2 linked regions of the Drosophila melanogaster genome follow. The protein of the gene in region 2 purifies or fractionates together with the protein of the main gene of each other region. This does not show direct contact. Each region holds a gene or a part of one and is shown on either strand. Other genes may lie near its edges. The genes, in order: CG8132 and Cmpk.

Region 1 (3,482 bases), about 17 Mb from region 2:
AAGAATCAGCTATTGAACGAGTCAACGAAGCAACTGCTTCATGCCACCCATCAGATCCGCGAAATTCAGCTAGATATGCTTAAGCAACTGAAGTTCCTGGCCAAGATTCGTTTCCTCAACCTGCCCGCCACCGATGTAATCAGCCTAAGTGCCGAAAACCTTAACATTCTCCAACGCATGGTCCTGCACACTGGCGTGGGCATTCCCGAGGAGACACTAAAGTTGTCCAGCGCCAGCACAAGTCCACTTTGTGAGGCGGAGAAGTACGCGGTTAGGGTAAGTACAGCGATAGTTAAAGTGATTCAAACATCCAGTTAATGGTACACCTTATTACCGTCCCACCAGGCCTTGGAATTCATTAGTCAGCCCCTGATGGCCACCGATGAAGCCATACGAGCACTTTTCGACCAGGCCCAGCGACCCCACTACGTGCAATCACCTGCATCCGAAGTAACTCCTGCCTGCGATAATCAGCAGCTAGATAAAATGCAATAGTTTTTCGACAGAAATCAATGTTATATGTGTGTGTAGGCCTAATAAATTTTATATACAATCAAATAACATAAATGCAATGCTTTAAAGGTGCTTAAAACGACAGATTCTTGAATTTTTGAAGATTTCCCATTTCCCATTTAAAGCAATCCTTTATTTGGCCTTCCTTTCGGTGGCGTACAGATCTAGACGTCTTTGCCCAAAGACGGGAATCTGCTGACGCACCTGCTCCACCTCGGAGAAATCTATATCGGCCACCACGATTTCCTCGCCTTCACTGGCACTCTGCTGCACCTTGGCCCATGGATTCACCACCATGGAATGGCCATAGGCTACATACTCGGCGCTTGTGTCACGGGCTGGTGATGTTGTGACCACAAAGAGTTGGTTGTCATTGGCACGGGATCGCTGCAATAGCTCCCAGTGCAGTGGACCAGTGGTCATGTTGAATGCAGCCGGATAGATGATCATCTCGCAGCCTGCGTTGCGATAGAGCCTCGCCATCTCCTCGAATCGAATATCGTAGCAGATGCCGATGCCAATCTTGTGGCCATCTACGTTGATGATGGTGAAATCATTGCCTGCGGACAGCGTTTCCGACTCCTTGAAGCGAATGCCACCCTTGACATCTATGTCAAAGAGATGCATCTTGCGATGCTTGGCCACAAGGTCACCAGTGGGTGACCAAACCGTGCAGGTGTTGTAGATGGCATCGTTTTCGCCCAGTTCAGGGATTGTTCCGCCCACGATGTACACCTGGTGCTTCCTGGCCAAATTGGAGAGCTGTTGCGAGGTATAGCCATCGGGAATGGTCTCGGAGTACTCCCGAAAGTACTTGGTGCCGTATGGAGCATTAAAGCACTCCGGCAGAGTGATCAATCGGGGTTTATGCTCCTTGACCGCCGCCTCGATTTTGGTGACGGCGTTTTGGACATTGGCCACTTTGTCCTTGGAACCCTTGAGCTGCAGCAGCGCCAAACGCATGACTATTAAATAAGAAATATTTAAGTGGATCTCTTTGAAATTTTGAGAAACACTTACTGTTGCTAGTTTTGCTCATATTGCTGCAATTAAATGTTATCTTTTCGCGGTTTGATAACAGATTTCATCGCAAGCAAAACAACAACAGGTTATCGCAGGGGCGTAGTAAAAGGGATCAATATTTATAAAACGCATTATTTAACCTCATATTAATACGCATATACTTAGCCAAAGCATACTTAACCAAAAGAATATAGCATTAAATTGTGTATAAAATCCTAACTTTTCTAACAAAAAATAAATAATTTGCAACCCCCATAAGCCCATGTTTTCATGGCAATCTGGCAAGGTCTGCAGTGCTCGAAAGTGTCGTACAGTGGGCAGCGCAGCCAAGTTCACGTCGTGCGCGAACAGGGTTGCCACCTTTCTTTCTAGTTTCGTCTCTTTGAGGTATGCACGTGTTCAATTAACAATTTCACGCAAATTCGCCGAAATGTGTGAAAAAATTGTGAAAATATACCACCAAATGCAGCCCAAACTGCACCCACCCTAGTGTAACTCCAAACTAATAATGATTTTCACCGCTTTTGCACATGTAACCCACGAATCGCCACGACAAGCAGCAACAACAACAGCAAAATGGTCCAACGTCTGACGCTCCGGAGACGCCTGTCCTACAACACACGCTCCAACAAGCGGCGCATGTAACTATCCAACTGCAATACACCTCACCAATATGAAAAATAACGCACATTTGCAATTTACAGTGTTCGCACGCCCGGTGGTCGTCTGGTTTACCAGTATGTGAAGAAGAACCCCACCGTGCCCCGTTGCGGCCAGTGCAAGGAGAAGTTGAAGGGTATCACCCCCTCCCGCCCCAGCGAGCGCCCCCGCATGTCCAAGCGCCTGAAGACCGTGTCCAGGACCTACGGTGGAGTGCTGTGCCACAGCTGCCTGCGCGAGCGTATCGTGCGCGCCTTCCTCATCGAGGAGCAGAAGATCGTCAAGGCCCTGAAGAGCCAGCGCGAGGCGCTCGTCAAGCCGGTGAAGGCCCCCAAGGCCAAGCCCGAGCCCAAGAAGAAGCCCGCTGCTGGAGCCAAGGGAACCAAGGCCGGTGCCGGCAAGGTCACCAAGGGTGGTGCTGGCGCCAAGGGAGCCGCTGGCAAGAAGCCCGGCCAGAAGCCAGCCGCTGGCAAGCCCAGGAAGTAAACAGCCCACGCAACGAGTTCGGTGTACTGCTAAATAACTTTTAAAATAAATTGGTTTTTTCCAACTGGATTTACTGTTTGTATTTTTAGTTTGACAGTCCAGTTGGATTGTGTACTTTACTTATTGGTTGTTCTTGTTTTCCAATCAGACCGTTCGACTTTTAGACATTTATAGCAAAACGATTTCAAAAGTGAGAATATAATATAATTAAAATAAATAAATTTTAAATATTTCGTTTGTCACAGAGTTTTACTGTGCTCGTAGTCAAACTTTTGATGATTTTTCAGATTTATTGATAATTATAAAAAATAAGATCCAGTGTTATTTTTCAAAGTGTCAATTTGTGAGAGTGATCACTGTATATTCATTGTATGACTAGGTGGCAACTCTGTTGAGAACAGCTGTTCGGCAGAAGCAATTGGAATTTTCTTAAAAATCACGTAAGTCGTTGATTGTTTATAGTTTCTTGCAAATGCAATTAATATTTTGTGTTTAGAATGGCGGGAACCAAGGTGCTGCGCTCCCTGCTGCACGAATTGCGCCAGGCATCTCCAAATGGCTGCATCAAGGACTCTCTGGCCGCGCGCTACATTTTGGCGCAATACAAGAAGTTCGCCACCACGGAACAACAATTCTGCAAGGCGCGCAACGAAGCGACTTTCCTGGGTCAAACCTACCTGACCTACCTAGCCAGCCAGCGCCGGTACTTGGAGCTCTACAAGGAATATCACGGAAGGGGCGAGAGATCCGTAAGGGATACCGCCGATTTGGTGGGCTTCAAGCTGCCCTCGGATCCCAAG
Region 2 (3,843 bases):
GCAAGGATTGAGCCGCTACTAAGAACCACTGCCTGTCCACTTTATGTAAGAGCCACCACCCGTTTGTATCTCCCAGAAGCGAATGTTATATTAAAGAGAATGCTTGTGATTTTCGTTCCCTGCGTGTTTGAAAAATCGATGAGTAATTAGCATTTACAAGCTATAATGGAAAGAACTGGGTAGTGCTGCAATCGCACAGCCTAGCTACAAACAAATTCGCAATACTTGTTACTTTAGAGCTATACAATATTCGGTATTTTAAAAGATATGTACGTTTCATGCCTGTCTTCAATAAAATAAGAAAAAGGAATTTCCAAATCATGAAATTATATATATATGTATATACATATATTCAGCTTTAACTATAAATGCAAAATTGTGTTTATCTGAATAAAAAGAAGTACTTTCCTAAATTTGTACTATTGGGTACTATAGAAATATGTAAAACACTTGAAAAATGAAAATCACATAGCACTTGTATAAATAAGAAAACTTGTTTTAAATGTCATAATATGAACAGGGGATTTAATTTATTGTTTATTGCTCTTTAACGTTCCTACATTTAAAATAGTTCTCAATCCATTTGCTTTAGATAACATATAATTCCAGAATAACTTTTGCCTAGCTCCATTTTTTACTCGATATTAAAAAGTGTGTGTGTACCTCCGCTTTCCTTGATTGGGTATACTAAACTTCATGTGTATCTTGTATCTTATCGGGGTGAAGAAAAAGTACCTTATGCATTACTATTAACAAGCGTATATATGTATTTTTTTAGAGGGTACAAATGAAAGGTAAGGATAGCACTACACACATAACCGGAATATGAACAGGAAATCTAGAAGCCGCTGGCCACAAATATCTTTTCCACCTCCCCGAACACCTCTTCCGCATCCGGACTGGCATCGATCCGTTTCACCTGGCCGGCGCCCTCGAAGAACTTGATGATGGGCAGCGAGTCGTTGTTGTATGTCGAGATGCGCTTCTTCAGGCTGTCCAGGTTGTCGTCCGTCCGGCCAGAGCCGCTCTGGCCGCGGCCCAGACACCGTTTGACGCACACATCCTCGCCGCAGTCGAAGAAGAGGACAAACTGGAAGTCCACCTTCTCGGACATCTGGCGGTTCCAACCGTCCAGATTATCCTGATTGCGTGGGAAGCCGTCGATGAGGAACCGCGACTTTCCCGACGCCTTCATGGCGTTCTCCAGCAGCGAACACGTGACCTCGACGGGCACAATTTTGCCATTGCGAATGTAGTCCTCGATGAGGTTACCGAATTCGGAGCCCTCCCGCGACCGCTCCTCGCGCAGGAGATCGCCGGCCGAGAGATGGGTGAATTGGAAGCGATCCACGATCCTGGAGCATTGGGTGCCCTTGCCGGCCCCGGGACCGCCCAAAACAAAGACAATCTTTGGCTTCTCTACGCTCATGATTCCGATATTGTGTGGTGGGGCTGTGGAGGTGGTGGTGATGAACCTATTGCTGGCCTTGGAATGTCGCAATTGGTGCTGCGTCAGCGCTGATGGTGCGAGACCGACTCCTGGTGAACCGCAATCGTTGGCTACTGCTCTCAACGTCGTTCGTGCCAAAGCCCGCCACATTGACGACTGAACCAAACTGAAGGCAAATTGAATGCGTGGTTTATGTGTATGCCGCCTGCAGTACACCTCACCACTGTTTTCCACTGGAAACGTAACACCCTGTGACGTCACGCACAAGCGCAGCTGTTCGCGGGCGTCCGTTCGGCAACACTGGCGCCGGCTTTAGCGGGAAGCGAACCAATTTGAATGGCATTTTATGCAGTTTACTTCCGGTTCGATATTAAATAAATTAAATTTAATTTAAATATTCTTCTACAACATTTTTAAATGTACCCTTAAACATGCAGCTTTGCAGAGTTTGATTTTTAATTTTTTTTATTATCATGTATATTACCTGCTAAATAAGTCTTTTAAATTAGCTGCGCTTGGTTGTTTTGTATCAAGTCGGCCACTAGTTGGTAGGGAATAATATGCTGGGAGCCGGCCGCCATGTCCACCTCCTCATCATCGACGCCCACGATCACAGCGGGCACTGGAAAGCAAAACAAGAGTTAAGCGGTTATCTTAATTAGATGACAAAAGGTTATTACCTGCCACATTTGCCTTAAGAAAGACATGGCTCATCAGATTGGGCGTCACAATCCTCTGCTCCGCCTCTCCTCTCTGCTGGTTGGGCATGTACTGGGTGGCTACTTTGTGGAAGTACTCATCCACATTACTGGCAAACTCCTGGGCGAACTTAGTCTCCTCGGGAGACAGACGTTTGTCATCCGGCTCACGGCTCTCCTCCTGGTTGAGGATGTGCTGCGTGAAGGTTTCGATCTTCTGCAGGCGGCAACGCAGATAACTGGCCATTATGTAGCGCACCCTCTCCAGTTCCATGGAGTGCACCACCGCTCGGAAATCGTTCTTGTCCAGATCGCGCATCTGCTCCTCCATGTGGGCCACCTGGGAGACCATCAGCTCCAGCATGTCCGTCTGGCTGGGCAGGATCTCCGGCGCACACATTTCATTTATCCACGCGGTTTCTATGATTTCCAGAACCTAGGGATATCAGAATGTGATTACTTGCGTATTAAAAAGCTGTGTTACGATTTACCTTACCTTCTGAGCTGTAATCTGTTCCATATCGTCATCATCCTCATCCTCCAGTCCGGCGCCATCGCTGACATCGATTTCTAACTGGGTTTCGGGCACGTCTTCTACATCCGACATGGTTTTATTTATTTGTTTATTATTTTGCAGATTTTGGCGCAAATTTTGGGAATCGTTGGGAATGTCACTCCAGTAATACAGTTGACGTTTTTCATCACTGTTTCATTTGTTTTTACTCCGTGTGAATGGCACGTCTAACCGTTATCGATATCACAAAAGCATGCGATGGCAGCCGCACAACAAACTGAATTCCAAAAGAATTTTAGAGTGATTGTAGAGAAGATCTTCAATCACTGGCAGGATCTCCGGCTGGCGGTGGAGCATGGCATGGGCGGACGCAATGGCCAACAGGTTGTTGCTCGTATACCCTGAAACCGTCTTCTTTTCTAACCTAATCGGAGTGTCCGTTTTGTAGGTGGCCATAGAAATCATGGACTACACCTACCAGTACTGCGTGTCCAACGAAAATATCACGCAAGGCGAACTGGTGGAGGTCCTGGAGGAGCTGATGGACCAGGAGTTTAACACCCTCTGCGACGACGACTCCATTCCGGAGATCTGCCGGAATCTGCTGCGCTACAAATTGATGGCCCAGCAGAACCAGTTTCCGCAAATAGAGGCTGAATTGAGTAAACTTCCTGCTGGCAAGGAGTGGCTGCGTCCGGATGTTAAGATCACCTACACACCCATCGATGGGGACTCCTCATCCGATGAGGACATGGACGACAGCGACGAGGAGGACGATAATGAAATGGGCCAGGGCGACGAGGAAACTCCCAGCGGCAGTGGTCGGATGACGCGATCGCAGGCACGAAAGCAGCAGGCTGAGGAGTTTGTGGAACCGGAAGACGGCTGGACCACCGTGCGAAGAAAATGAATTTCGTCGGGATGATTAAAAAGAAACCTGCTAGTTTTTTAGTTATAATACGCTGTATTTACTTCCTGGAGGTCCAGAAAACGCAGTGGTGGAATAGGTGCACGTGTCACAGGTTGGTGGAAAGTCCTGCACAGGTTGCAGTTCACTGGAGAGGCCTTCTTTGATGCGGAATCCTGGCTGACCTTGCCTTTTTGCAACTGCGACCAGGAGGTGAACTCTGTCCCCTTGGGCAGTGCCAGCTTTGGATCCACCACCGAGGCAATGGAATCAA

The links.
Region 1: the proteins of Cmpk (region 2) and CG8132 purify together in Drosophila melanogaster (affinity purification with mass spectrometry, with the first as the bait; one large-scale study listed by BioGRID). This does not show direct contact.

Annotation. Positions count from the first base shown.
Region 1 is NT_033777.3:9,399,637-9,403,118, reverse strand, and holds CG8132 (uncharacterized protein), read right to left. Parts: upstream 1,625-3,482; 5' UTR 1,553-1,624; coding exon 1,534-1,552; intron 1,479-1,533; coding exon 646-1,478; 3' UTR 501-645; downstream 1-500. Other genes in the region: CG9356 (uncharacterized protein), read left to right, coding at 1-276, 346-495; RpL34b (ribosomal protein L34b), read left to right, coding at 2,113-2,177, 2,241-2,682; CG34117 (uncharacterized protein), read left to right, coding at 3,180-3,482.
Region 2 is NT_033777.3:26,053,737-26,057,579, forward strand, and holds Cmpk (Cytidine/uridine monophosphate kinase 1), read right to left. Parts: upstream 1,703-3,843; 5' UTR 1,601-1,702; coding exon 839-1,600; 3' UTR 501-838; downstream 1-500. Other genes in the region: Vps2 (vacuolar protein sorting 2), read left to right, coding at 1-11; Sld5, read right to left, coding at 1,951-2,072, 2,131-2,584, 2,645-2,755; CG14543 (uncharacterized protein), read left to right, coding at 2,921-3,046, 3,111-3,572; PIG-P (phosphatidylinositol glycan anchor biosynthesis class P), read right to left, coding at 3,611-3,843.